7 linked regions of the Neurospora crassa OR74A genome follow. The protein of the gene in region 2 purifies or fractionates together with the protein of the main gene of each other region. This does not show direct contact. Links are inferred from orthologs where the notes say so. Each region holds a gene or a part of one and is shown on either strand. Other genes may lie near its edges.

Region 1 (4,271 bases), on a different chromosome or scaffold from region 2:
TAGCGGAGAGGAGGACAAGAAGGGCGGAATTATTCCCGGTCCTTCCTCCGGATCCGGCCCTGCAGCAAACGAGTCCAAGAACGGAGCCTCAACGAGCGGTAGCTTCAACGGCATCATGGGACAAAAGTCAGAAAGCAACTGATTACATCATCTGCCGTGTACCTCGAGCTTCTGCGCGAGAGACAAGACCCAGTGTATCTGCTTATAATACGGCAGAGGTAGGAGAACCCAAGATCCTGTCGATGTCATAATGGTTTTGCTTATGGATGGGAATGTACGTCGACTTGTTCGTTTTATGTGGTTTGAAAGAGTGGTCATCATTTCACACACATGGATGATGGAGACAGAAGGACCTGTGAAGCTCAAGATCTCATGGGTGCGAAATGCACTATTTTACCACGTTTTGACTGACCGGTAGGAGATGAGGAGGGAGAGGAAGGAGCGGATTCCGATGTACATACATTATTATGACTTGTGTTTGGAATAGAAGCGTGTGCATGTCATCTGTTGGAAAGTCGACAGCGAGAAGGGAATGGGAATATCCTCAAGAGGCGGAAATGAACTCGCTGCTTTGCCATAGAGGCCAGTTAGAGAACATGATTACGATTGTCGTTACACTCTTGGGATCGTAATTGCAACGTCGTGATCATTCCCGCACGGGATACGGTGTTATTGAAATGGCTGAACGGCGCCTCAGCCCGAAAAGTCAAGGAGATGACAGCTAAGTGTAGTGCTTTCGTGGTTATCCCTTGTAACCAGTACGCCTTTGACCATGCATGTCCGCCTAATCATGTAATCATGTTAAGCCAACCCACTTGTTTTACATCTACGACTGTTATAATGCCCTTGTCCACGAGCTCGACAAGCTAGAGGTATTGAGTCAAGAAGCAGATGGGGCATTTGACAATGTCGTCATGCTTCTGACAGGCAGCTGACAACCCCAATAGATGGAGATCTCGCTTTGATCCAAACAGCCCAACCTAGGCTATTGAAAGCCACAACAGCTTGCTCTCTTTGACACCGTGGGCGCGGACATCGAATTCGGAGAATCAGCCGTGTGATCAAGATGGAGTCAAGGGGGGGAACAACGAAGATTGGAGCTCAACATATTGTAACCGACCAGACCAAACAGAGCCGTTGCCACGCGCAGGCGCCGAAAAAATCCCATATCTCGTATTCCATCTGCGAACGTACCTACGGCGGCAGCGGCGACGATGACGGACTTATACGCAGAGCAATCAAAGTCACGTTTTCTGCCACCTCAACAGGACTTTACCTTGTCATCAATGTGCCATTAGTGAATGGCCCGCCAAGCTGACTAAGTGTACGGGGTCGCTCTTGTGGGGTGGATTGTTCTGGGCTTGGCTGGTCATCGCTGGTTGGCTGGGCGGGCTCGAGGAACAGGAAGGCGGACATGCCCGCCGGAAAGGGCTCGCGCAAAAGTTAGGGCTCCGCTGCACTTGAGGCCCGTGCACGGTCCAATCCACACCACTCACACAAAAATTTGGCTGGTCCAATTTCTCTGGCGATACTTCTTGATTTTGTTTTCGCGGTAGTGAACTTTTTCCCACTCGACCATCAACAACCCGGGTACTTGGGATCATCAGCAGTCATGTCTCACCGTAGTAAGTAACGCCTCATCGCCGTCGCTGTCGCCGCCAGACATACGGTCTTTGTCGATTTCTACACGCAATCCCGACTTCGAGAGAATCGATGGAGCAGCTTTCCCGAGAGACGGTCGTCGCGATATCGAAATTTTCGACTTTTTGGCGACTGGATTTTGGGGAGCATGCGTGATCACGACTTGGACCTCATGGCAACCTGAACGTCCTTCATGCTGACTCGATGCTTCAGAGTACGAGGCTCCCCGCCACGGTTCGCTGGCCTACCTTCCCCGCAAGCGCGCGGCCCGCCACAGGGGAAAGGTCAAGTCGTAAGTCAAGCTTATCTTCTGGTACCATCGACAACACTATCGCTAGTAGTTTGGATCTTTCGCGATCGGAACTTGGGCAATAGGGCATGCGAACAGAGAGGCTGACCAGTTGCGCGTTCATGACAGGTTCCCTAAGGATGATGCCAAGAAGCCCGTCCACCTTACCGCCGCCATGGGCTACAAGGCCGGCATGACCACCATCGTCCGCGACCTCGACCGCCCCGGCGCCAAGGCTCACAAGAAGGAGGTCGTTGAGGCTGTGACCATCATTGATACCCCTCCTGTACGTACAACGCAGCCCGCTTGGCTCTTTTTGTGTCAATGGCTAACATCTCTCGCAGATGATCGTTGTGGGTCTGGTCGGCGTAAGTCTTTGATCCTGTCCAGCTGCCGTATATGGCCTACCGCGACCGTGTGATCTAACCCCGATATTAGTACATCGAGACTCCCCGCGGTCTCCGCTCCCTCACCACCGTCTGGGCTGAGCACTTGTCCGACGAGGTCAAGCGCCGCTTCTACAAGAACTGGTACAAGTCCAAGAAGAAGGCCTTCACCAAGTACGTCAAGAAGCACTCCGACAACAACGGTGCCGCCATCACCCGCGAGCTCGAGCGCATCAAGAAGTACTGCACTGTCGTCCGTGTTCTTGCCCACACCCAGATCCGCAAGACTCCCCTCAAGCAGAAGAAGGCCCACCTTATGGAGATCCAGATCAACGGTGGCTCCGTCGCCGACAAGGTCGAGTTCGGCCACGGCCTCTTCGAGAAGCCCGTCTCGATCGACTCCATCTTCGAGAAGGACGAGGTTATCGACGTCATTGCCGTTACCAAGGGTCACGGTTTCACCGGTGTCACCGCTCGTTGGGGCACCAAGAAGCTTCCTCGCAAGACCCACAAGGGTCTCCGCAAGGTCGCCTGTATCGGTGCCTGGCATCCTTCCCACGTCCAGTGGACTGTTGCTCGCGCTGGTCAGGCCGGTTACCACCACCGTACCTCGGTCAACCACAAGATCTACCGCATTGGCAAGGGCGATGCTGAGGACTCTGCTGCCACCGAGGTCGATGTCACCAAGAAGAAGATCACCCCGTATGTATCCCCGTCTGTCTTGAAGAAGTTGAAGAGCGCAAAACTAACCCTGTTCCAGCATGGGTGGCTTCGTCCGCTATGGCGAGATCAACAACGACTTCGTCATGGTCAAGGGCTCCGTTCCCGGTGTCAAGAAGAGAGTCATGACTCTCCGCAAGTCCATGTTCGTCCACACCTCCCGCAAGGCCCTCGAGAAGGTCGAGCTCAAGTGGATCGACACCTCCTCGGAGTTCGGTCATGGTGCTTTCCAGACCCCTGCCGAGAAGAAGCAGTTCCAGGGTACCCTCAAGAAGGACCTCGCTGCCAGCTCGTAAATTGGCTGCTGCAGTTGATCTCCTTGTTAGTCGGGTTGCATTGGTGTCACGGTTTTTTCGTTGCTCTTTCGGGTCGGTCGGGAAATGGGACTATACCTAGCATTTACGGCTTAATAAAAAGCTGTTGAAGAACAATGAAACGTTGATCCAGTGTACTGCCAAAGAGAGTGTCCTTCAGCAAAATGTGTTTTATGTGATGTGAACACGTGAAGAATCTGGTGGTTGGCACAGATTCGATGGACACTGTTGTTTATAACTTCGTATGTTTTATTCCAGGACTTTTGTCTTGGGCTGCTATGCCCCCACTAGTGTAGGGTAATGACTTGAAGGGACCAGTGGCATATAGATATACCCAATTTGATAGTCTTGAATGTAGCATGTCGTGTGATTCTCGTTGCCTGTTCTGCTGCGCTGGACGTGTTCGATTTATCAACTGTTCATGAGCTTCCACCTGTCATTCACTACCCGTCTCTATGCTTTCTCTTCCTGATATTGTTCATCTGCGATACCACGACTGATAATGATATCACTTTTCGACCATCTTCTCATATTCCTAGTCGTGCTTTTGGGAGTCCTCACGGCGTACATGGCTGTTGTTACTTGTTGAGGGCATATCAAACCCCGATCGACCTTGCAAGCAGCCCATCTCCTGATTGGTTGACGCTTCCACTCTTAGGCCAACGTGAGATCCGCCATTCCTAATTGGTTTCAGCTACTGCAGGTTACATCATCGGACGTTCGTTCGCATCCCACCACGCAGCCCACCCACCTGACTGATCATTGTCATCGTCGTCCCGCCCAACGAAACGTTCTCAACCTAAACACAACAACATAATGGTTTGAACTTCCCTAACCCTGACCCAGATCTGTTCTAGTTGCTTCTTCCATCCTCAACACAAACTCTTTGTCGACAATCCGCAAAGCTAATTACCCGGCTCT
Region 2 (4,255 bases):
TATTCGGTTTCCAAGCGGCACTTAGCCATCAAGTGACGGTGAACCCGATATATGTCGGTCTTGGTGCCGCAGTCAAAATGTTTGCACAGCACTTTGCCTCTACACGCCATGTTGATATGGGGAGGTTGTGTCCCTCGAAAATTGTGGTACAAGTGGTTCAATGTGAAGGTCGTATGATAATAAGGCCTTCCAAGGTCCGGAATGGCGAATATAAGAAAGTTGTCTCGCTCCTGTCTGGTTAATTATGATTTACCTCACTCCAAGTAGGCCACGGCCTGTTTCAAGCGTCATATCTGAACCATCAGGGAAGTCTGGAAGCAAGCTTTTCTCTATGCAATCATATATAACATGTCCAGACTTGTAAACAGGGCTATCAGTCAACCGCAAATTACGCGGGGCCCAACAAAATCGCATTGACAAAGTAAACAACATAAAAGGGGTATTTAGTCAACCTGTGGCTACCGTCCACTTTTGTCACTATAGCCATGCGACGCCTACAATTTCCTCAACCTAGGCATCGAGCTTCTCTAAAAGGAGCTTCGAGCCCTGGTTGCCCTTGGGGGCAGAAGCATTCTTGCCCTTCTTAGCCTTTGGCTTCTCCTCCATCTCTTCCTTCTTCGACGCCGGTGCTTCAGTTGCGGCCTTGATAAGGGCCTTCTTGTTGGACTTGAGGGTCTTGAGGAGCTCCTTCTTCGATGAGAAGTCGGAAGCCTCGAGCATAGCTAGCACCGTCCAAGAGCTAGGGCCGGTGGCCCATTGTACAATGTGGTCCTTGATGACGGGATAGAGAAGGTCGGCGAAGTTGAGCGGGGGGTCGACCTTCTGGATGCTGCCTGTGGCCTTGTCAAACCGGCCGCCAGCAATCAGTGTCTTGAACATGCGGCCACCGTGAATGGTTGTCGAGATGTGAGGGGGAAGAGCTTGGTAGGCATCCTTGGGCGCCTCAGCGTTGGGATCGCCACCGGCAGTAGAGGCAATAGCCTCCAACGCGGCCTTCTTATCTCCAGTCGCCGAAAGCAAAACATCAGTAACAAACTGGCAACCGAAAGAGGTGGCCACCAGGTCGGCGGGTGAGCTTGCGATGGCCGCAAGGAGCTGAGGCGACATGGCCGTCACCAACTCCTTACGCCTAACCTCGGCGTCCTTCTTGCTGGTCTTGGTGCGGATCTCGTGAATCTCCTTCAGAATCTCCAGGTCGGTGGCGTGGCTGGCAGGGAACAACGCTTTGGACATTCCCTCAAAGAGATATAATACCGTCGTGCGCGCGTTGAGGTCGTTAGCGAGAAAGATGACGTGCTCGGCATCCTTCTCTTCATTCTTGCCAAGAATCTCGGAGAAGATCGTCTTGGACGTGAGGACAGTGTCATCAAGGAGATCGTAGGCGGCGAGGATGATCGCGTGCGCGTGATTGTCACCACTCATGAGCTGGTAGGTGTCCTTGTAGGCCTTGAGCAGCTGCTTGCGGTCCTTGGCGGTTCCGTGCGCAAGGAGCAAGCACACGAGGCGGGCGCCAGACTTGGTGAATGCCATGTTTTTGAGCAAGTCGCCGGTCTCATCCTCCTTAATAGTCTCAAAGAACTCCTTGAACTCTTCGCTTTCGGGGTTAAGGTTGAGGAAGTACTGCAACAGAGCGTCGTGGAGCATGGTGAAACCAGTCATTTTCTTTTGAATGAGGCCATTGGCCATGTCAAAAAGGTACTTCATCGCCGTTGTCCTCTTGCTGGGCTCGTCAGCCAAAATCTTGGAGAGATCGCCAGTGACCTCGGTACCCTTGGGTTGCCTAAACAGAGCAAACTCGGGACCGTACCACTCGCGAAGGAGGTTGGCCTTTTGCTCCTTGGTCGCAACACCGCGGTAGACATCGTCCAGAATCCAGGAACCCTCAGCATGGTTGATGAGCTTGCGAACTTTGCCGTAAAACTCGGGGACGATGATGTCGCGGATCTCCTTGTCGTTCTGCACCAGAAGCTTGCCGATCAGGAACTTGGCATACCTGCTCTCGGCGAGCTGCGCATAGGTTCCTTGAAGTTCCTTCGCAATCTGCCTACGCTGAACCGGGGTGGCGTACTTGACGGCGGTCTGGACGGCACGGACAGCATCGTGCTTTAGGACAAAGTCCTTGATGCGGCCAGTTATGATGGTGAACAACTCCTCAACGAGCTGTTGGCGCTCCTCCTTAGGCACATGCGACTTGCGACGGAGCTTCTCCCACAGCTTCTTGGTACGGTGCACCTCATCGGCCAGTGGCTTCGCGTTCTTGCGTTCTTGGGCGAGTTGTTTTTGCTTGGCGTGCGCCTCCCTGGAGCTTGTGCCTGCGTTGTGTTAGTCAAATAACAGAGCGAGGTTCGGTCATCATGGGGCAGATATGGTAAAGAGAGACAACGTACCAGACTTGGTCTCGTTGGAGCCATTGCCGGACTCATTGGGCGTGGATGTTGTGGTCTCTCCTGTGTGGAACTCGGCGTCTGAGCTTTCATCGGAGGATTCATTGTCTTCGGCTTCGGCCTTGATGTGTTTCTTGCCAGAAGTGGTCTTTACTGCTTTTGTACGGCCATCCTCGTTATGCTTGCCGAACGCCTTTCTCTTTCCGCCGGCAGCGGCTGCTGAAGACGACTTGGTCGCCATTGATGCTATGCGATGTCTGTGTTGCTCCGGGATATGAAGGATTGATCTAGGTATGGGGGGCTCGTGTTGACGTCGTACTGGGTGGGCGCTGGTTCAAAGGTGATGGTCGAGCAGGAATATGTGAAAGTGCAGGTATTCAGACGGGAATCCGAAACTTTGGAGTGCCCTGTATCTGAAGCCTCTGAATTGGAAATTCTGTAGCACGTTTTCCGCTGAAAATTTCTGGATCCGCATCCTGGCATCTGCCGGGCGGTGAGAAGCTTTCCGGGGTTCTGTGGTGGGGCGACTTGATCGACACTGTCTAGAACTGTCCATTGATATAACAAGGAACCCAGGCAGGACCCCCACCATAGATTGAGCCGCGCTCGCGTTTTGGAGTTTGGCCTGCACCTGACGCTACAGTCACTGCAATGCCGTCTGGTTGCCCCTCCCGTCCTCTTCTCTAGGTTAGTAAACGCCTGAAAGTCAACATTGCCAGCACCCACTTTTGGAAGGAGTCTTTCACGTTTTATGTCGTCCAGCACACTGCAAACTTGAAAGGCGCCCTACCGATTGGACATCATGGGCCGCGAAGAACAAATTGAAGAGAGGGAAGTCCTCGACTCCATCTTCCCAGATGAGATCCAAGGTTCGATTGTTCGCCCACATCGGTTGCCGTTCAGGCATGGGCCTGTCCTAACCCAAGCTCGACTCGTCTAGATATCTCCGATACCGAATACCGGATTACTATCACGCTGGACATTCCTGATGATGATGCCGAAGAAACACCAAGCATGGTACTTACCGTACGGTACCCCGAAGACTATCCCGACAAGCCACCTTTCCTTGAGCTTGCGTCCGCCCCAAATGCGCCGCCCCATCAGTACATAAACATTGCCGACGATCGGTTCCAGCTGCTCGAAGGTATCCAAGAGACAATTGAAGAGAATTTGGGGATGGCCATGATCTTTACTGTTGTGTCGGCGTTGAAGGATGCTGCGGAGCAACTGGCAGTAGAGCGGAGGGACGCTGCCATCAAGGCGCAAGAGGAGGCCGCCCTTGCCGCGGAGCGCGAAGAGAACAAGAAGTTCCAGGGCACTCCCGTCAATCGCGAAACCTTTTTGAAGTGGAGGGAGAGTTTCTTGCAGGAACTGGAAGATCAGAGAATCAAGGAGGAAGAGGAAAAGGCGGCCGAGATGAAGAAGGCAAGGATAAAGGAGCCTGTCAAGCTCACGGGCAAACAACTCTGGGAGAGGGGCTTGGCTGGGAAGGGTGATGAGGACCTGGAAGGCGATGATGACGTCCCCGTGGAAGAGGTCCAGAAACTCACGGTTTAGGACCGTTAGACAAATCGTAAGCCCTCTATCACGTTCGCCAAAATTATCTAATTCTTTGCTGTAGGCTTTAATCCGCTCTAAGTATACCTAACCCATGTGAAAACCAATCCTGAACATTACTTTTTACCCCTCTTAACCGGACTCCAGGGTATGCCATAACAAGTTTGCCTGAAAAAGACGCCTCAGCTTAAGGTGGTATGGTTAGAAGACAAACGAGACGAAGCCAGTTGGGGCCATTTAACTCATCTCCTCATCTTCATCTTCCTCAACGTCTGTATCTTCCCAAACCTCATCTTCCTCAGCGCCAACAACAC
Region 3 (4,201 bases), on a different chromosome or scaffold from region 2:
GGCTCTGATATTGGTTTTGATGACGCCTTCTGTACCACATAGGATAATGCGGTCACCTTCCCTGAGGATACCGTTGGTGAGAATGACATCGATGGTCATACCGAAACCCTCGATGGCCTTGACTTCGAGAACGGTAGCCTGGACCTCGGAGAGGTACATGAGAGAGCCAACCATGCGCTCCTGGGTAAGCTGGACAATGAGCTTCAACATGTCGGGGATACCCTCGCCGGTGTGGGCAGAGGTGGGGACCAAGGAGACGTATTTGGCCATGGACTTGTTCTGGTAGAAGAGCTCCGAGTTGAAACCCTGCTCGGCGAAGGCGAGCTTGGTCTGCTCGAGACGGTTCTTGAACTCGTTCTGGACAGCCTTGTTCTGGAGGGCCAACGACTCCTGGAAGCCGTTGTTCTCGATCTTCTTCCAGCCGTAAAGACGATCGATCTTGTTGAGAGCGACGATGAAGGGCGTCTTCCTCTCACGGAGCAGTCTCATGGACTCGAGAGTCTGGGGTTCGAGACCGTGCATGATATCGACAACCAAGATGGCGATGTTGCAGAGCGAAGAACCACGCGAACGCAAGTTGGAGAAAGACTCGTGACCGGGGGTATCGATGATAAGAAGACCGGGAACCTTGAACTCGAACTTGCCGTCCCTGTTGACGACGTGCGTCTTCTGCTTGATGGCCTCAACGGGGAAGTAAGTGGCACCAATCTGCTGAGTGATACCACCGGCTTCACCCTCCTGGACGTTGGTCTGACGAATCTTGTCGAGCAGCTTCGTCTTACCAGTATCGACGTGACCAAGAATACAGCAAATAGGCGAGCGGAGGTTGTCCGCAGACCTGGCAGCCAGAGCGGCCTGGTGAGCCTTCTCGCGGCGCTCGGCAGCCTCCTTCTTCCTCCGGGCCTCCTCCAGTTCCCTGGCGGTAGCCTCCTCGTCTTCAGAAGATTCCTCTTCAGATTCCTCCTCAGACTCGGACTCGGACTCGGACTCCTCCTTCTTGGCCTGAGTCTTGCCGTTGGCCGCGGCGGGCTTAGAAGCCTCCTTCTTGGTCTCTTCCTTCTTGGTCTCCTCCTCCTCGTCGGAGTCGGCGTCCCAGCTGTCCTTGACATCCTCCTTGTCAGAGGCAACAGCGGCCTCCCAGTCCTCGTCGACGCTGTCCTCAGCGGCGGCCTTGGCGGCCTCAGCCTTGGCAGCAGCCTCCTTCTCGGCCTTCTCGCGCTCGATGCGGGCCTTCTCCTCTTGCTCCTTGACCAGAGCCTCAGCGGCGAGTCTTGCGCGCTCAGCGGCCTCGGCGAGAGCCTTTTCCTCGTCCTTCTGTAGCAAGTAGACACTGGTTAGCGCCGTCCATAGTATACCGTAATTGTAGCAAGAATCCCGGACAGACTCACCTTCTTGTTAGCAGCCCTCTTCTTCTTGTCGTCGTAGACAGGCTTCTTCTTGGACTCTTCACCCTCGAGCGCGTTGACCTTGATACCGGCCGCCAACATCTGCTGCAGCTTCCTCTCGTTGCGGGCCTTCTCCTCCTTCTGGGCCTTGGTCATGAACTTGCCCTCCTTCTTGAGCTGCTCGATCCTCTGCTTCTCCTTCTCCTTCTTGCGGGCGCGCTCCTCCTCCTTGCGCTTGGCCTCCTCGGCAGCGGCGCGCTCCTCCTCCTCTATCCTGGCCTTCTCCTCGGCGAGGAGCCTAGCCTCCTCCTCTTGGCGACGGCGCAGCTCCTCCTGCTGCTTCTGGAGGGCGAGCAGGTGGGCGGGGAGCTTCTTCTTCTTGCCACCGGCGGCGGCTTCGGGGGCGGGAGTGGAAGCGGGGGTCGAGACGGGGCTGGGGGTTTCGGCCTTCTTCTCCTCCTTTGCGGGCTCGGCCTTGGCGGCGGCGGCGGGTGTGGTGCCCTTCTTCTTAGCAGCAGCCTGTTTAGTGAAAAGAAGTTGTTGTTAGTCTTCCGTTTGTGTCTGATGTATGTATAGTCATTAGTGGGTAATAGTGATAATGACTGGGTACTCACCTGCTCCTTCTTGCGCTGCTTCTCACGCTCCTTCTTGAGCTTCTCCTTCTCGGCCTTGGTCAACACCCTAGGGCCATCCTCATCGGCAGCATCCTCGTCCTTCTTGGCGGCGGCGGCGGGAGCAGCCTTCTGTTGCTGCTGCTGCTGCTTGCCCTTGCCACCCTTGCCCTTCTTCTCGGGGAGAGCGAACTCGTCGTCGAGGTTGGCCTCCTCGGCGACCTTGGCCGACAGATCGGGGACGGGCTCGGCGGCAGCGGGCTTCTCGGCGCCGGGAGCGTCTTCGCCCAGCTCAGCCTCCCAGTCGTCGGCAAGACCCTTCTTCTTGCGCTTCTCCTTGGCCTTGCGCATTCTCTCCATCAGACCGCCACCACCGGAAGCGGCCTCGTCGTCGGCGGCAGCGGGAGAGGCGGCAGCAGCATCGGCGCCGTTGTTGTTGACGGGGGCGATGGACTCGCCCAGCTCGGCCTCCCAGTCATCGTTGGCCTTCTTGTTTCCCTTCTTCTTGGGCGCCATGTTGGGCTAACTGGACTGTTGGTAGTCGACCGGGGAATACCTTGAGGCGGGGATGTCGTCGGTAGGATGGGCGGGGGAGAGGATCCTGATGGGCTCTCCTTCTCTCCTTGTGACGAAAGTCGAAGTCCGGGTGAAGACCTCGTTGCTCGCTAGGTGGTTCTGGTGGTGGGTTCGTGGGGCGGCCGACTGGGGCTACTGGGCCGTTATATGCGATATGGCTGGCTGCTAAAGAAGGCAGGCGGCGTACTTTTTTTGGTGCTGTAGGTCCCCCCTTGTCGACGGGATAGGGCTTGTCACTTGTATCACTTTTCGGTGGTGGTGCTGCAGAGTGGATCGATGGTACTGTAGGTACTTGGCACCGTGGATCTTTTTTTTTTCTTTCGTTGTTCTTTGTATCGAATCCCGCTCTGGTTTGTTGCTACACTATATAGAGGTCAGGTACGTACCTATCTCAGTACCTGTACTTACACCGTCTGCCTATGCGCTTTCTTTCAACCCGTATAAAGTGTTTGGTATTGTCTCCGTCTACGGTCAAAAAACGGCAATCATGTCCCGTTCTCTAACTCAATCCCAAGTAGTCGAAGTCGCAAAGTCAAAGGAGTCTCGATTCAGCAGAAAAATCCAGACAAGGATCGCCACTCCAAACTTTTTTTTTTACTTGTGCCGGAGCCAGGAGGTGTCGCTTTGACCAAGCCCTTGACTTGACACTGCACAGACTGTTGGAGACAGCAGTCAAGACAAATACAGTACAGTACAGTGCAGTGGTGAAAAAGAAGTGGAAGCTCCTGCACTCCCGCGTACAAGTACAGTGACCGACTCGTTGGTGCAGAATGCGGGGCACCTGCTTGTTAAGGCACAAGTGGGGCACTTGCTGGGCTAATTTCTGTATTTACTTTCTACCACTTTGGTGTATTTTGTGCGATATTCCATCCAAGGGGGCAGGCCAACTCCCTCACCTTGTCATAATGGGTATTTCATTAACCAGATGTTGCTAGTGATATTCTTTATTCGCTTTTCTATTATGCTGTAGCTACACCACCAAGGCATTCATCAGGACGGCTTGTAGGCCGACACTGGATCACACGTCCGTTTATTACCAGTGTATCTTGCCCTTCCCCCCCCCCCCCCCCCCCGCCTTAGAATTCCAAGCACTTAGTAAACTTGCCTAAGATAATACATCAACACGTTATACGCCAGTTCAAAATACTGGTCCGCAGTGCCCTCGCCCATCCACTCAGCAGTATGTTTGCCTCCATCCAACTTATCCAACAGGCTCTTGAACCGCGCCAACAGCTCCTCCGTGTTGATCAGCTCTTGCAAGACTTCCGCATCCAAGAGTGTCTTCAGCACATCACCATCCACATGCGACGGCTCAGTGGGACCCAGGTTCGGCTCCGCGTGCAGCAGCCTTTCCTCGTCTCTCTTCCCCCTGAGGTTATACAAGTTGACAATGAATCGCAACAGACGCAATGCGTGCTGATCAAGCAGCGTAAAGTGATACATGGTGCCGTCCATGGCTATTCCCAACATCTCGGCATCGTTCGGTGTGCTAATGAGCCGGCCGTACTTGGGTGCGTTCCAGGCTCCTTGCTCCCACGTTGGCCGTGTCCTGCCGCGCCGGAACTTCCTGATACTGACAGGAAGCGTCCCCTCGAAGAGCACCCTGAACTCAGCCCAGTTATGGGTTCC
Region 4 (3,570 bases), about 6.0 Mb from region 2:
TGCCTTTTGCCATTACTTTTCTTGACGCCATTTGAAGAAACATAGCCGTGAACGACCAAAACCTTTTCAGGATGATCGTACCATGATAGCCCACCATCATCGAGACCCCCCGTCTTCAAGACTCGTTCCATCAACCTCACGATATTAGTTACCTCTCTAGTCCGAGTCTCTGGCCCGAGCGCCTGCACGGAACAACCCGCATCCAAACCTCCTTCTCTCACCACACCCTCACGGGAACATGCTTCCAACGAGTTCACGAGTCACGACAGTTTACTTGCATCCCAGGCTTCTCAGTCGCGGGAAACTGCATAGAACTTTTCGAAAATGCATTCCTAATGCCCGAGTCTCCGAACACTCCACATGTACATACATACATACAGCTGCGGACAGTTTAAGTTTCAGTTTCAGTGGCATGGGCTGGGCTTGACGAGAATGCAATCGCCCTTTTTCAAAACCGTTGAAAAGTAGGTAGGTAGCTTCCCGATGGCATACATACCTAGTGACGGCGGAGGCGGAGGCGGTGAAAGGAGGAGTGCCGAGGATCCATGGAACAACGGTAAAAGAAGCCACCACGTGAATGGGATGCGTTCCGGAGGTTGTACGATACATGCAAAGTATGGATGGGATGGGTATGGGCTGTTTGGACGTGATGGGGAAAGAGACCGGGGAGTCTCATCAGGTTGGATGGATATCCTACATTTATGGTCCAGTCAAGACGACCACGAGAGAGAGAGGGGACATGGCGAAATAGATCATTGTGAGAGGAGGGAAGCTATACTGAACTGCTTCATGGTGTTAGAGAACGACAGGCCAGGTAGGTCCGTAGTAGGTGGATGAGAGCATTCTTGATGCTCGCCGGGAGCAATGACTGGAGAAATCTGGTTTTATGTCAGAGTAGAACGGTTTTAAGGAATCTGTATTGTGAACCCGAAGTGTAGAAGAACACCATCCCAATATGTTGGCTTCGTGTATTCAGAATCTTCTCAAGTGTGCTGACCTTGTAAGAGTGATGCCAGAGTTTTGTGATGTTGCTGACTTGGCAATCATATTGCTCAATGCTTGTTTCCCAAAGAGCAAGTGATTATCGAGTGATCAGAACAAGAATATGGAACTCAAGGTTGACTCCATCACCAACCTAATTGTGATGAGACGGCAGAAATGGAAATGATTTTGGTTGCCGTTGCAGTGACGTTGAGGCGTGAAATGGAATGGAACCTAACAGCCCGTGAACCCCTGAACGACAGGCAGGGGAAAGCCAGCGCCCAGTGGACGAGCGGACAATCTTGACCCCACCTGCCCCACAAAATTTCGAGTTCAAGGTCTCCTCTTATCGATAAGCGCCGTTCTGGAATTTCTTTGCTCGACCATCACGACGACGATTTGCAGGTGAAGGAGACAGTCCCCAGTCCACATCACCACCTTGCGGTACCTATCCAATCCACCCACTACCGTCATCGCATAACCAGACCGCCAAAATGCTCCGCCAAGTGTACGTCAATCGATCATGACAATGGAACATACCGAACATTAGCTGACAGTTCTCTTCTCCGCACAGCAAGCCGCGGACAGCCCGTTCCAAGAGGGCGCTCGAGAAGCGTGCCCCCAAGGTCAATGAGAACCCCAAGACCGCCCTCTTCCTTCGCGGCACCACCTGCAGCCAAGTCGTATGTCACCTCCTCCATATCCTCTCCTCCTATATATGATGGTATCATCAAAATCTAATACAGTCCGCAGACCCAAGATGCCATGCAAGATCTCTACTCGCTGCGCCAAACCCACGCCAAGCGCTTCCACAAGAAGAACCCCGTCCACCCCTTCGAGGACGCCAGCTCCCTGACCTTCTTCTCTGAGAAGAACGACACCTCGCTCATCCTCTTCGGCTCCAGCAGCAAGAAGAGGCCCCACACCATCACCTTCTGCCGCACCTTCGACTACAAGATGCTCGACATGCTCGAGTTCTACCTCGACCCCGAGACCTTCCGCAGCATTGCCCAGTTCAAGACCAAGAAGGTGCCCGTAGGCACCAAGCCTTTGATGGTGTTCGCCGGTACTGCTTTGTATGTCCCCCGATTCTTGTGACAAAGAGGAAGGAGTAGTGAATGAACGTCAGCTAACCGAGTACCACAGCGAATCCCCCGTCCCCAACGCCTTCACCACCGCCAAATCCATGCTCATCGACTTCTTCCGCGGCGAGCCCTCAGACAAGATCGACGTTGAGGGTCTGCAGTACTGCGTTGTCGTTTCCGCCGACGAGCCCACTTCCTCCTCCACCGATCCCTCGGACCCCTCGACAAAACCCACCCTCCACCTGCGCGCCTACCTGATCCGCACCAAGCGTTCCGGCCAGAAGCTCCCCCGAGTCGAAGTCGAGGAGCACGGCCCCCGCATGGACTTCCGCCTCGGTCGCCTCCAGCAGCCCGACGCGGACATGCTCAAGGCTGCGATGCGCAAGCCCAAGACCAACGAGGAGCGCACCAAGAAGAACATCAGCATGGACAGCATCGGTGACAAGATTGGTAGGATCCATATGGGCAAGCTGGATCTCAGCGAGTTGCAGACGAGAAAGATGAAGGGTCTCAAGAGGAGCAGGGATGTGGTGGATGAGGACTTTGATGATGCGGATATGCCGATGGAGGGCGTCAAGGAGGTCAGTGACAGGATCGTGGGGCCGAGGAAGAAGAAGGCGAGGGATGTCGTTGAGTTTTGAGTTGAGCAAGAGTAGGGAGACGGGAGAATGAGGGGTTGAGGGGATGAAGAAGAAGGCAGGCAGGGAGGAGGTTTAATCTTTTTTCTCTCACAATTGTTGCGATCATCCACCAAGACACAAGGCGTTTTTGGGAGTTTTTAGTTTTATTACTTTACTTTATCTTATATCATTGGCTGCTGCTGCTCTTGGGGAAGATGAACATTCATGCCAGATCAGATCATCAACAGAAAAGAAGAGATGACCAAAGCTGGAGTTATTGATGGATGATGGGTTGTTCGTGAAGTTGCCTTGCCAAAGCTTGTAGACCTAGACATCTATCTAGCATATACGTGATATTTATACCAACCAACATATGGGACCATAGGATCAACCGATCGACCGGCCGAATTTGCCGCTACAGCTTTGTTTGGAAGAATCTAGTATTGTCAGCACTCGCTGCCTACTATCACATGGCACTCATGCTATTTCCCTCTTCTACCTGGATACCTTGCTACCTTGCTACCTTGCTACCTTGCTACCTTGCAACTATCTATAATCATAGAAAAAAGACAATGCCATAATCATGTACAACCATAGGAAAACCTATGAACTATTCCCTGTTTCGATCTTTGGTTTGGAAACGTCTATAAGGGGTGTCGGTGAGGCAGTCTGCAGACTGATTTAGTACAAAATTATGAAACCAAATATCCATGCCGAGAACGATTGATTAGTGTATATGTTGACTGACTACAAGGTTATGAATGAAATGCCTGTACCAGAAATTGTGTTTGTTAGAGCAGAGTTGTATCAATCAATGATGGCTTCCTTATGCTTGTCTATAAAGAGACTAAAGCCAGTCCCACCAAAGAGTTAAGACTCGAGAT
Region 5 (3,953 bases), on a different chromosome or scaffold from region 2:
GAATCTAGGCCATGGGGAAGATGGAGACCTTGATGGACCCATGGACCCTGTCTCACTTGGCAGCACAGTCCAAGACGTGAACTGTTCTTTTAGTGCCTTATAGAACAAAACACGAGAGAAAAAATACAAGACATCTTACTCAGAGTGAAGAGACCGGATACTATATGTAGATCACCGCTCAGAATTAAATGGTTAACCGTGAAAGGAAACATGCAATACCACAGCCATGAATCTGCGTCTAATCATCCAAGCCCAATCCGTCCACCTGGCCCAAAAACAGCCCCTGCTCGCCCTTCAGCAGCTCACTAACATCCAGTCCAGTGAGGTACCTCTCGCTGACGCCCGTGTTGATCCTCTTGCTCAAGAGGTCTCTCAACGCAGCCCTCAGCGACGCCAACTCGCCCTTGCTCATCTGCTGTGCCTCCTTCTGCTTCTGCTTCTTGGAGCTACCCTTGCCACCCCACTTGCCCGCCTTCTCAAGCTCTTCCGAGTCATAGTCGACGCCCAAGTCCTCTGCCGCCTTCTTCATCCAATCGTCCTCTTTTCCACCCATGGTCTTGGCCTGCACCGCATCCGCGATCTTCTTGGCCAAGTCGACGCGCTCCCGCAACTTGGCGACGATGCGCCGGTCGATATCGATGGTGCGAAGTCCGCTCGAAACGAGCTTCTTGGTGTTGTTGCCCGAGTTGCCGGCCTTGACCTCGGCCTGGGCGTGCACCTTGGCAACGAGGCGCTGCGTCGGCACGGCTTCTTTGGGCCCGCAGAGCAGGATGCTCGTGCCCGAGTTGGAGGCACGGGCGGTACGGCCGGAGCGGTGCACGTAGTCCTCGGCGGCGCGCGGGACGTGGTAGTGGATGACGAGGTCGACGTCGGGGATATCGAGACCACGGGCAGCAACATCGGTAGCGACCAGGATAGCTGCAGAACCGTTCTTTTTCTTTGCGCCTTCGTTGGCCTTGAAGCGGTCGATAGAGCGCAGACGGGCTTGCTGGATCATGCCCGAGTGGAGAGGGAAGGCTGGAAGATTGAGGTTCTCGAGGAGGGGGGTTAGGCGACGGACAGAGTTGACCGAGTTGGTGAATACAAGCGCGCGCCGTGTGGGCTGGAGCATGAGAGTGGCATAGAGGTAGAGATCCTTCTCCATGTCGCCGCACATAATGAGACCCTCCTTGAGGTTCTCGGCCATTTGGTGGACGGGATTGGCGTCGACAAACTTGGGGGTTTCGCGGAAGTTCAGCTTCTGGAGAAGATACTCCATGTCCTGGGTGCTCGTCGCCTTGAACTTGGATTTTCCGGCCAACTTTTGCTGCAAGTTCTTGTTGAACGTGGCGGAGAAAATGAGAGTCTGCCTCTTGTTGACGTGCTCTTCCTCCTCCTCCTCCTCCTCCTCGCTGTCCTCTTCTTCCTCTTCCTGTCCCTCCTCATCAGTACCGCCCATCTTCTGATCCTCATTGTTCTCTTCCACCGGTGGCCTGTCAAGAGCCTTGAAAATCTCCTCGGCCTCCTTGAAGTGACCGTCCTTAAGAAGTCTATCTGCCTCATCCAACACGAGGAAGGAGATGTTCCTCAGAGAAGCGAGCACAGAGTTATCTGAGCTCATAACCTCCCACATTCTGCCCGGGGTCGCAATGACGATATCGGCGACCTGGAGCTGTCGTTTTTGCTTCTGTACGGCCATGCCACCAAGAACCGAGCAAATGTAAGGTGCTGTAGGAAGACCTTTGCAAAGCGCTTGAAGATGGTCTCTGATCTGCTGGGCAAGTTCTCTGGTGGGTGACAAAATCAGCGCTGTAGCGCCCTTTCTCTCTTCCTTGTTCTGCTTCCTCGTCTCAGCAGCGCTCAACCAGCTTTCGATGACGGGAATTCCGAATGCCAACGTCTTTCCCGAACCGGTGGATGCTTTTCCGATAACGTCGTGACCAGCCATGATCTCGGGAATAGCCTTGGACTGAATCACGGTGGGCTTGGAGAACCTGAGTTTGGCGATGGACGAGATCATACGAGGTGACAAATCGAGTGGCACCCATTCGGACATATCAATTTCCTCCTCTTCAGGCTCAGGAAGCTCCTCCAGTTTGGTGAAAAGATCGGTTTCTAGTTCGGGGTCCTTCGGCTCGACAGTAGTTTTCTCGTTCTTGCGGGCCTTCTTCTTGTCCTCGGCGTTCTTCTTATTCGCTGCCTTATTTGGCTGCTCCTTCTTTGGCTGTTGCTTTTGCTGCTTTTGCTGCTTTTGCTGCTCCTTTGGCTTCCTCTGGTCCTTGGAGGCCTTCTTTTCCTTGGCTGGAGTACTCGCAGCTTCGGCCTTGGTTTCTGATGTCTTGACTTCCTGGTCCGCATTTCCAGCAGGTTTCGGTGTCTCTTCGTCGTCGAAACCACCAAACTCTTCGCCGTCATCTTCTACCTCTGCCTCCGACTTGGGGACCGCAGCCATCTAAAGACATATGTGAGTTCATTCATGTCCTGTCGCTGTCATCATCCATGACCCAACTTACGAACTTGACAACATCGCCATCCTTTACAATGTCAACACCGGTAATTTCCTCCAAACCAAAGAAACCCTCCGCATCATCGAACATTTCAGGAATGTCGACCGTCTTCCATGCCAGCGCATCAACGGAAACAGGTCGCTTGATCTGCTTAGACGACGGTTGCGTCTTGCGGCGCTTTGGCCCGCTGGCGGGGGCTTTTGTGTTCTTGCGCTTCTTATCGACGGCCATGGTGTGAATATGTCGTCGTTTTCGGGTGGAAAAGGGTGTCGGGTTTGAGTGCTTGAGGTTGTTGGATGCACTGATGAACTTTGATTTGAAGGGTGTTGTTGACACTGCTCAGTGAAAATGGCTGTAAAAGTGAAATGGAAATTTTGGCTCCACCTTGCAGCTGGGTTGCAGCAGCCTCTAGCTGGAACAGGCTAGCCCATGTGCTGTAAATGACACCGCCTACCTATTCCAGGTCTGGCTAACAAGCTTGTAGTGTAGAGGGTGCCGACAGAATAGGACGTGGAAACAATCAGTCTGACTTTGATGGAGGAAACAAAACATGAGACGACATCTTATGATTCAAAGCTTTCGTTTATCGCCAAAGTCCTTCCCTCCAAGTATGCGCGTCTATGGTGTGCGAGTGCTGGGGCCGCCAAGGTGCTCGATAATTATGCCGGCAGAATCCTTTTTGGCGGTGACTATTTGCAGCAGACGGACCCAAATCGGCGCCCAGCGACAGCGACCCGTCACCAGGCAAAAGTGGGGCCCAGTCTCTTTCACAAGCTCCCGTCATTCACTCTCGTCACCCACTCGCGGCACTTCATTATTCGACACAAGTAAGTGAGAGCGAAGCATTCAAAATGGGGAAATCATCAAAAGACAAGCGTGATGCCTACTATCGCCTTGCAAAGGAGCAAGGATGGCGTGCCAGAAGTGCCTTCAAGCTTCTTCAACTAGACGAAGGTAAGAACTGTTTATTGCATATGTAATGTAAAGAAGTGTATCACCGCTAACACCGAGCGTTCCCATCAGAATTCAACTTGTTTGAAAATGTCACTCGTGTGGTCGATCTCTGCGCTGCCCCCGGTTCCTGGTCTCAGGTTCTATCGAGGGTTCTCATCAAGGGAGAGAAGTTCGGCCGGTGTGCTTGGCAAGACCGTGAGGCCAAGTTCCGCCAACAGATGCTCAACGTCTTTCCCGAGAAGCAAGACGCTCAGGATGAGGTTCAGAGGGTGCAGGCGACTCAGGAGAGCACGCCGGCTCCCAGGGAACAGGTCAAGATTGTGTCCATCGACTTGCAGCCCATCAGCCCTCTGCCAGGAATCATCACTCTCCGAGCCGACATCACACATCCCGCCACCGTTCCGCTTTTGCTTAAGGCGTTGGACCCCGATTTCGACCCAAGCACCATGAACCCGCAAGCCTCACACCCAGTGGATCTGGTCATCAGCGATGGTGCGCCCGACGTCACAGGCC
Region 6 (3,981 bases), on a different chromosome or scaffold from region 2:
TGAACTTGTCCGCATCCTTGGGCGCCTTCTCCATCTTGTGCTTGTACCGCGGTTGGCCAGGTTGGGCTCCGAAGTTGCGGATGAGCTGCGACTTCTCCGTCTCGCCAATCGTGGGCAACTTGCCGAGACGGTTATCCTTGCGCCACCGGTCGAAGCGGCCGCTCTTGAACGAGGCGGCAATCTTGACACCGGACTCGCCACGAATCATCTTGGCGCCCTTGGAGCCGTCCTCATCGTTGGCGACCGCCACGTACTTGCTGTGACGCTTGTCCCAACGCATCTTGGATTTCGTGGGCAGACCGAAGTTCTTGGCACTCTCGTCGTTGGTCAGGTCCATGGTAGCGTCGCGAGCGGCCTCGACGAAGCTGTTGCCGCTGTAGCCGCCCGAGTGAACACCGTAAGCCTTCTCCTCCGCAAGGCTAGTGGTGCGAGGCGTGTAGGACATGAAGATCTCGGGGTCTTGGAAGTTGACCGGGCCACCCTTCTTCTTCGTATGCATGCTGCTGGATACTGTAACCTCCATCTCCGAATCCGAGTCGTCGGCGTATGGGTCTTCCTTGGCTTCCGCCTCTTCTGCCTCTTCCGCCTCTCCCTCCTCTTCCTCATCCTCAAAGTCTTCGAACGCATTGGTCTCCTCGCCGTCAGGTTTACCCTCGGCATCTTCCATGTCCACGTCCTCATCATCCTCGTCGTTGGTAGTCTTGCGCTCCTTGAATCTGGAACGCATGTTTCGTACAACTTCCGCGGCCTTATTGCGGCTAGACTTGCCCTTAGGGCCAAGTTCAAAGATGGTTTCCTGGGGCTTGAAGCGGTTTATCCTGCTGAGAAGATCATCGCGAGCTGCCTGGGCTTCAGCGGCTTCTTCTCCAAACAAAGGATGGAGCTGTGTCCAGCCCCTGGACTGCGTAACTTCGCGGGCTCTCTTTGCGCTCTGGCTCGACGCAGAATTCCTCGTCTTCATGTAGAGCTTCTCGGCCTTTGCGGCAACACCCTTCAGCGCCTTGAGATCGGCACTCTCCTTGAGCGCCTTCTCAACCCACTCAATGTTAACATCCACTCCATCTCTCTTTAGTGTTCCAACTACGACGTCTGCCGCGAAGGAAGGGTTCTTCTGATCGTGGCCGATAATAAGTTTCCTTCCCAGGAAGAGCTGTAGATCAAGTAGATATGGTACGTCTGACTGACGGACCAAACCATAGGCCCAACCACGCTGACCCGCACGAGCTGTACGACCAACACGATGGACAAAGATCTTGGGCTGAGATGGGAAATCGTAGTTGATGACGTTGGCGAGAGCAGGCATATCAATACCACGGGCGGCGACATCGGTAACCACGAGAATATGTGTTCTTCCCCGACGGAAGTTGTCAACTTGGATCAAACGGGCCGTCTGGTCAAGCGAACCGTAAACGTAGGACACGGCAAAGCCTGCGAGTTTCAACAGGTTCGCAATGTACTCGACGTGATGTTTCGTTGCTGTGAAGATGATGGTCGAGTATTCCGTCGGCTTCTCCTTAGGATTGGGCCTGTACTCGCGTTTCCTTTTCCTCGCCTGCAATTCGTCACTCTCTTCCTTTGTGCCCTCGGGCGGACCCAGCGGGACCTTGATGACGTCGTGGAGAAGATGGAGAAGGGCACCCTCCTTCTCACCTCCCTTTACTGCGAAGAAAGCACTCTCGAGGTCGGGTGACACCTTGGTTTCGGCATCCAACCTGACAAGGCTTGGCTCTTGAAGACCGGCTCTGGCGAATTCGACCAAGGACGATGGGAGCGTCGCAGAGAAAAGAAGCGTCTGTCTGGAAGGAGGGAGGGCGTGAAGAATTTCGGTCAACTCAGTAGCGAAACCCATTTCGAAGAGGCGATCAGCTTCATCGAAGACAACGTATTTGATGGAGGCCAAAGAGAGGTTCATTTCAACCTTGAGATGGAGGAAACGACCGGGTGTGGCGATGATAATATCGGGATTCGACGCCATCATACCAAACTGTTCTTCTAGGCTGTCACCACCGACGAGCAATACGGTCTTTAGATCGGTACCTCTGCCGAGTTCCTTGACGACCTTGAGGGTCTGCAACGCAAGTTCACGCGAGGGAGACATGATGAGCGCCCTCGAGCCAACACGTGGACTGTGCCCCTTCAACCTCTCAATCATGGGGATAACGAAAGCTGCAGTCTTTCCGGAACCGGTTCTGGCCATGCCGACCACATCTTTTCTTTCTAAAATCAGGGGGATCGCTTTGCGCTGAATGGGGGTCGGGACGGAGAAGCCTTTTCTGGTAATCGCTCGGAGGAGATGGGCGTTTAGACCTAGGAGAGTATCAGCAGCTGCCCCAAGCATCATCAACTTATGCCATGGGACGGAAGACTACGCACCCATTGCCTGGAAACCTCCACCCTTCTTGACTGATTTGCCCTGAATGTTGGAGGACTTTCTCTGCGAGCTCCGTGTGAGCGAAGCGATAAAGGCTTCGTCATCATCGCCCTCGCCATTAAAGCTAGGTAGTCCATCATCGCCGTTACCGAGAAGATCGTTGAAATCGAGGTCAAGCCCGCTGTTCGTAACAGCTCCCTTCTTGGTGTGGTGCTTGCTGCTGTTGTCTTCGAAGTCGCTGTCGTTGTTGAACAAAGCACCCGCGATGTCAACCTCGTTCTCGGACGGTGTGGGGGACGCTGCGCGTCTAGGCATGGTGAGCGAGGGTTGTGTTGCTGCCAATTGCAGCACGAATCGCTAATTGAAGATGCAAAGACGGACGGGGTGGGTTGGAGTTTAGGTTGGTGATGATGATGGGGTCTTGGGGTCTCTTGTCTACTGTAGCCATCAATGCCTGCCCGTCACCCGTAAATTTTGGATGGTCGACTTTTTAGTGGGGCCAATGTGACATTTATCCATTATCAGCTTATCAAGTACACCCATTGCATGCCCGTGGGTTTGCCTTGGCAGCGCTGGCGTGCGTTAGCTGTGCTTTCCGCGCTCCTGGAGGTGTCGCAAGTCGCAACTACTGAACTTCCCTAAACTTCCCCGGAGTTGCGTTCCGTTTGGTAGACCGAACTTACTTATCCATCAACCCTTTGTAATTGATCAAACAAGCATCCAGATTGACCCTCCATTCCGGCGACAATATGGCGACAGACACTAAGGACGTGAAGGACGTTAAAGACGTCAAAGACGAAACTCCTGCCGACACTCGGGATGCGCTTGAAGTGCTGGAATCTGAAGCCAAGGAGTGGGAGAAGGCAAGCCAGACAACAACCACGCCCAACTATACCAACATTTACATCCCCAACTCAGTAGTTGCTGACAATCTAAATTCCGACAGGATGCCGAGATCGACCGTATCTTGAAAGCCTTCCGGCTCGACGCCTACTCAGTCCTCGGCCTCAAGCCCGGCGTGACCGAATCCGACATCAAGATTGCTTACCGCAAAAAGTCCCTGCTGATCCATCCCGACAAGACCAAAAACCCCTTGGCGCCTGAGGCGTTCGATAGACTGAAGAAGGCGCAAACGGAGCTAATGGAGGAGAAGCACCGCAAGAACCTAGACGAAGCTATCGCGGACGCGCGCATGCTGCTGATCCGCGAGAACAAATGGACGGTCGACAGCCCTGAGCTCAAGACGGCCGAGTTTGAAAAGAAGTGGCAGGAAAAGACCAAGTTTGTGCTGATCGAGAACGAGCAGCGACGACGCAGACAGCTCAAGGCGCAGATGCAGGAGGAAGGCCGCGAGCAGCGGAAAGCTGACGAGGAGGCTGAGCAGCGCAAGCGCAAGAGGCAGCACGAAGAGGACTGGGAAAAGACGAGAGACCAGCGCATCGATAGTTGGCGCGCGTTTCAAAAGGGCAAGTCTGGGGATTCGGATAAGAAAAAGAAAAAGAAGTTGAAGCCTATTGGCTGAGCAAGAAGAACCTGCAATGCTCTTTCATATGAGCATGCGCAGCAATATTCAACTACGGCAATTGCAAGATGTGTTCATCAACGATGCA
Region 7 (3,886 bases), on a different chromosome or scaffold from region 2:
GAACCAGAAGTTCTTGTCCGATTTTATTTTATGGGATGCCTTCTGGATTGTTTCCGTGATGTCTGTCCGTGGTGTTGAGCGAGTGGTGTTGAAGAATAGGGCCATGGGACCAGATTATATCATGAACATCAACTTCCGTGCTGATACCTCCCATTGGAACCATTCTCAGCCTCAGATCGTGGAAAGATGCGACCCAAGGCAGCAGTGAGCCAAAGACCGAACCACACTTGTGACTCGGTCAACTCCATGGAAAATGATCATGTTTTCATGTAATAAAGGTGTTGTTACTTCCGACGTGACCAAGATAGCATCCCGTCAGCCTTGAGAGAATATGAAGGATTCCGAAGGGGTTCATGAAACTTCACTTCAGCCAATGTAATGATGCGAGGATATTGATCTGCCATGTGTACTGTTATGTATCGACCCAGGGGCCTCTCGGCGAGTGACACTTCCAACCCAGGGACCTGGATTCGAAGCTGACTGGTACGTTCCAATCTTGCGCCCTGTATCCCGCAGACGGGGTAAGTTTCCAGCTGCCCCGAATTATCGATTATCGATCAAGGCAACCCGTAGCCTGACTATGGACTTGTGTCAAGGCCTTCGAAGTCGTCCGCTGGACGGGAACTGCAAAGTCCACCAGGCTATTGACTGGTCTGTCTCAATCCACTAAACCTTTGGAATAGAAATGTAACATAAGAAGAATACTGCAATGCCAGGATCTCAGAGGTACTGTACAGCGTTTGAATATCCGCAGTGTAAAGCAATGCCACCATGGACGACATCCAGAGCCTAATTCCGTGAGAGGGACAACGAACATGAAAGACCGACTACACGCGGTTACGTTGAGTATATCATGTCTATGACAGACTGGAGTAATTGCAGGAGAGGTGAAAGCGTTGTGATAATAAACGAATATCAGAGAAGAAAACAACATAATGCGGATTTGAAGATAAGAGGAAATGGACAAGTTCAGTTCTCGACTCTCGCAAGCAATTGGGGGCACAATTGGCGGGTTCCGGGGTTCGGCTGATCTGCAGTCAAAAGTGGGGTCAACACTGGGACGGCTGTAGCGCACAGACCAGGTTTTCATCAGGAGAAGAGGGCAGAATTGGCAAAATTTTCACCGCCTGGTGTAATCCCTGGTTATCGAACAAGCGATAAGAAAAAAATCCCCAGCGAAAGAGAAGGCAGAGGAAGGATAACAGATTCGACTCGCTGGGAATTTGAACGGAACCATTGCGACGCCCTTTTCCCAGAGTATCGCAACCACCCACCGACAGTACCAACCCCCCCACGCCATCACGATGGCTTCCGAATTTAGCAAGAAGCGCAAGCTCAAGGACGCCAAGATTGCGACCGAAGATGGCGCCGCCACCGACAAGAAGACCAAGAAGGTGAAGAAGGACAAGAAGGAGAAGAAGGCCGCCGAAGAGGTCGTCGAGGACGCCACCCCCGAGGAGGAGAACGATGCCCAAAAGGCGGAGGAACAACAAGATGGCGACGAGGTCATCCCCACCGGCAACGGGGACAAGGAGGACAGCGACGACAAGGACGCTGAGGCCGGCGACGAACTCACAAAGACCAACGACTCCCTCATCGCCCCGTCCATCGCGACCAATGCCACCGACTTCTCCGAGCTCAACCTGTCCGACAAGACCATGAAGGCCATTGCCGAAATGGGCTTCACCAAGATGACCGAGATCCAGAGGAGAGGTATCCCGCCTCTGCTCGCCGGCAAGGACGTCCTCGGTGCGGCCAAGACCGGTTCCGGCAAGACCCTCGCCTTCCTCATTCCCGCTATCGAGATGCTCAGCTCCCTGCGCTTCAAGCCGAGAAACGGTACCGGTGCCATTGTCGTCACTCCTACCCGCGAATTGGCTCTCCAGATCTTCGGCGTCGCCCGCGAGCTCATGAAGAACCACTCCCAAACATACGGTGTCGTCATCGGCGGTGCCAACCGTCGTGCTGAGGCCGAGAAGCTGGGCAAGGGCGTCAACCTGCTCATTGCTACTCCCGGTCGTCTGCTCGATCACCTGCAAAACACTCCCTTTGTGTTCAAGAACATGCGATCGCTCATCATCGACGAGGCCGACCGTATTCTCGAGATTGGTTTCGAGGACGAAATGCGCCAGATCATCAAGATCCTGCCCAAGGAGGACCGTCAGACCATGCTCTTCTCCGCCACACAAACCACCAAGGTTGAGGATCTCGCCCGTATCTCGCTCCGTCCCGGTCCTCTTTACGTCAACGTCGATGAGGAGAAGCAGTTCAGCACGGTCGAGGGTCTGGACCAAGGCTACGTTGTCGTCGACGCCGACAAGCGCTTCCTGCTCCTCTTCTCTTTCCTCAAGAAGATGCAGAAGAAGAAGGTCATTGTCTTCTTCTCGTCCTGCAACTCGGTCAAGTACTACTCCGAACTTCTCCAGTACATCGATCTTCAGGTTCTCGATCTCCACGGCAAGCAGAAGCAGCAGAAGCGCACAAACACCTTTTTCGAATTCTGCAACGCCAAGCAGGGCACCCTCATCTGCACGGACGTTGCCGCCCGTGGTCTCGACATCCCCGCCGTTGATTGGATCGTCCAGTTCGATCCTCCTGATGACCCGCGCGACTACATTCACCGCGTCGGTCGTACCGCCCGTGGTAACAACACCAAGGGCCGTTCGCTGCTCTTCCTCCAGCCCAACGAGTTGGGTTTCCTCGCCCATCTCAAGGCCGCCAAGGTCCCCGTTGTGGAATACGACTTCCCCAAGAGCAAGATCCTCAACGTTCAGTCCCAGCTGGAGAAGCTGATCGGCCAGAACTACTACCTTAACCAGAGCGCCAAGGACGGTTACAGGTCGTATCTCCACGCCTATGCTTCGCACAGTTTGCGGTCGGTGTTTGATATCCATAAGCTTGACTTGGTTAAGGTGGCCAAGGTATGTTTTCTCTTCTCTCCCTTTTTCTTCCCCAACACCAGAACAGTCACTAACGTACTACAAAAACAGTCCTTCGGCTTCTCCACCCCTCCCAGGGTAGACATCACCCTGGCCTCCAGCATGTCGCGTGACAAGAAGCAGACGAGCAGGAGAGCGTATGGTAGCCAGCCGAAGCAGAACCGTCACTAAGCGAGGCGGGATTCGGTGTTCGTGTTGTTGTTGTTGTTGGTTAGAATACGAAAAGGGGATGATGATTTGTCAATGTTCTCTCTTAGATATCCATCGGGCATTCGGTGTGGAGCATAGTGGGTGTTTTCTTTTGTGTTGCTACTTTGCTGTTTACTTGTTGTTGTTTGCGCAAGCTGCCAAGGCGTTTTTGGTTGAAAAGTAAAACTGGAGGGCTTCAAATCAACAATTAATTTTTACTTTACGTTGCTGCTCCGTTGGTGTGGTATTTCTGATGCTGTGCCGTTCGGTCATCTCGGGTGTCTTTCCATGTGAGGATGGAACATATTATCATGCTGACAGTTTCATTTGATAAATGGTAAGAAAGACCTTGAACAAACCACATCATATCTATTTTGCTACGCAATTGGAAAGATCGTGATGTTGATATGGCTGATGGAAAGCATGGAGGTCCTGAGTGTCACTCTCTATCAAGGATCCTTTGTAGGGATTCATAATCAATACCCAAATTAGGTAGCTGACAACCGGTACCAACTCAACACTAACCTCCAACAACAAAGCATGAAACAACCCACTGATGACAGTCTACTATTTCAGAACGACCTACATCGATACCTATTCTATCTGCAGCCCCAATCGACCCCCCGAACCTGAACTACATAACAGACGGAAACTCCCCGACACAAACCAACCTAACAACTTTACCAAATTTCACCTCGTCCCCAATATCCTCCCCTTCCCCTTTCCCAATATCCTCTCCTTTCCCTTCCCATCACTTC

What was found.
Region 1: the proteins of NCU09380 (region 2) and NCU06843 purify together in Saccharomyces cerevisiae (affinity purification with mass spectrometry; 3 studies listed by BioGRID, with this or other methods). This does not show direct contact. The link is inferred for Neurospora crassa OR74A from reciprocal best matches to the Saccharomyces cerevisiae genes PUF6 and RPL3.
Region 3: the proteins of NCU09380 (region 2) and NCU05270 purify together in Saccharomyces cerevisiae (affinity purification with mass spectrometry; 3 studies listed by BioGRID, with this or other methods). This does not show direct contact. The link is inferred for Neurospora crassa OR74A from reciprocal best matches to the Saccharomyces cerevisiae genes PUF6 and FUN12.
Region 4: the proteins of NCU09380 (region 2) and NCU08595 purify together in Saccharomyces cerevisiae (affinity purification with mass spectrometry; 3 studies listed by BioGRID). This does not show direct contact. The link is inferred for Neurospora crassa OR74A from reciprocal best matches to the Saccharomyces cerevisiae genes PUF6 and RPF2.
Region 5: the proteins of NCU09380 (region 2) and NCU04041 purify together in Saccharomyces cerevisiae (affinity purification with mass spectrometry; 4 studies listed by BioGRID, with this or other methods). This does not show direct contact. The link is inferred for Neurospora crassa OR74A from reciprocal best matches to the Saccharomyces cerevisiae genes PUF6 and MAK5.
Region 6: the proteins of NCU09380 (region 2) and NCU07712 purify together in Saccharomyces cerevisiae (affinity purification with mass spectrometry; 5 studies listed by BioGRID, with this or other methods). This does not show direct contact. The link is inferred for Neurospora crassa OR74A from reciprocal best matches to the Saccharomyces cerevisiae genes PUF6 and DBP10.
Region 7: the proteins of NCU09380 (region 2) and NCU09349 purify together in Saccharomyces cerevisiae (affinity purification with mass spectrometry; 4 studies listed by BioGRID). This does not show direct contact. The link is inferred for Neurospora crassa OR74A from reciprocal best matches to the Saccharomyces cerevisiae genes PUF6 and HAS1.

The regions. Positions count from the first base shown.
Region 1 is NC_026502.1:1,783,778-1,788,048, reverse strand, and holds NCU06843 (60S ribosomal protein L3), read left to right. Parts: upstream 1-1,483; 5' UTR 1,484-1,612; coding exon 1,613-1,625; intron 1,626-1,854; coding exon 1,855-1,933; intron 1,934-2,059; coding exon 2,060-2,216; intron 2,217-2,274; coding exon 2,275-2,298; intron 2,299-2,368; coding exon 2,369-3,018; intron 3,019-3,076; coding exon 3,077-3,332; 3' UTR 3,333-3,771; downstream 3,772-4,271. Other genes in the region: RCM-1, read left to right, coding at 1-142; NCU06844 (hypothetical protein), read left to right, coding at 4,167-4,169. UniProt on the Saccharomyces cerevisiae protein: Component of the ribosome, a large ribonucleoprotein complex responsible for the synthesis of proteins in the cell.
Region 2 is NC_026501.1:3,514,555-3,518,809, reverse strand, and holds NCU09380 (pumilio domain-containing protein), read right to left. Parts: upstream 2,801-4,255; 5' UTR 2,626-2,800; coding exon 2,388-2,625; intron 2,313-2,387; coding exon 511-2,312; 3' UTR 285-510; downstream 1-284. Other genes in the region: NCU09381 (RWD domain-containing protein), read left to right, coding at 3,187-3,253, 3,325-3,941; NCU09382 (TPR domain-containing protein), read right to left, coding at 4,179-4,255. UniProt on the Saccharomyces cerevisiae protein: RNA-binding protein involved in post-transcriptional regulation. Component of the ASH1 mRNP which transports the ASH1 mRNA to the distal tip of the bud, where the ASH1 protein is translated and targeted to the daughter cell nucleus.
Region 3 is NC_026504.1:5,514,274-5,518,474, reverse strand, and holds the start of NCU05270 (mitochondrial translation initiation factor IF-2), read right to left. Parts: upstream 2,801-4,201; 5' UTR 2,513-2,800; coding exon 2,000-2,512; intron 1,905-1,999; coding exon 1,389-1,904; intron 1,315-1,388; coding exon 1-1,314. Other genes in the region: NCU05271 (hypothetical protein), read right to left, coding at 3,665-4,201. UniProt on the Saccharomyces cerevisiae protein: Plays a role in translation initiation. Translational GTPase that catalyzes the joining of the 40S and 60S subunits to form the 80S initiation complex with the initiator methionine-tRNA in the P-site base paired to the start codon.
Region 4 is NC_026501.1:9,517,966-9,521,535, reverse strand, and holds NCU08595 (ribosome biogenesis protein), read left to right. Parts: upstream 1-1,373; 5' UTR 1,374-1,475; coding exon 1,476-1,489; intron 1,490-1,555; coding exon 1,556-1,664; intron 1,665-1,734; coding exon 1,735-2,057; intron 2,058-2,127; coding exon 2,128-2,707; 3' UTR 2,708-3,070; downstream 3,071-3,570. UniProt on the Saccharomyces cerevisiae protein: Required for biogenesis of the 60S ribosomal subunit.
Region 5 is NC_026506.1:2,535,253-2,539,205, reverse strand, and holds NCU04041 (ATP-dependent RNA helicase mak-5), read right to left. Parts: upstream 2,801-3,953; 5' UTR 2,718-2,800; coding exon 2,493-2,717; intron 2,432-2,492; coding exon 239-2,431; 3' UTR 103-238; downstream 1-102. Other genes in the region: NCU04040 (tRNA (uridine-2'-O-)-methyltransferase TRM7), read left to right, coding at 3,338-3,440, 3,510-3,953. UniProt on the Saccharomyces cerevisiae protein: ATP-binding RNA helicase involved in the biogenesis of 60S ribosomal subunits and is required for the normal formation of 25S and 5.8S rRNAs. Required for the maintenance of dsRNA killer plasmid.
Region 6 is NC_026504.1:2,110,014-2,113,994, reverse strand, and holds the start of NCU07712 (ATP-dependent RNA helicase dbp-10), read right to left. Parts: upstream 2,801-3,981; 5' UTR 2,687-2,800; coding exon 2,374-2,686; intron 2,308-2,373; coding exon 1-2,307. Other genes in the region: NCU07713 (DnaJ domain-containing protein), read left to right, coding at 3,121-3,234, 3,318-3,893. UniProt on the Saccharomyces cerevisiae protein: ATP-binding RNA helicase involved in the biogenesis of 60S ribosomal subunits and is required for the normal formation of 25S and 5.8S rRNAs.
Region 7 is NC_026502.1:4,196,723-4,200,608, forward strand, and holds NCU09349 (ATP-dependent RNA helicase has-1), read left to right. Parts: upstream 1-1,161; 5' UTR 1,162-1,304; coding exon 1,305-2,921; intron 2,922-2,990; coding exon 2,991-3,110; 3' UTR 3,111-3,386; downstream 3,387-3,886. UniProt on the Saccharomyces cerevisiae protein: ATP-dependent RNA helicase involved in 40S ribosomal subunit biogenesis. Required for the processing and cleavage of 35S pre-rRNA at sites A0, A1, and A2, leading to mature 18S rRNA.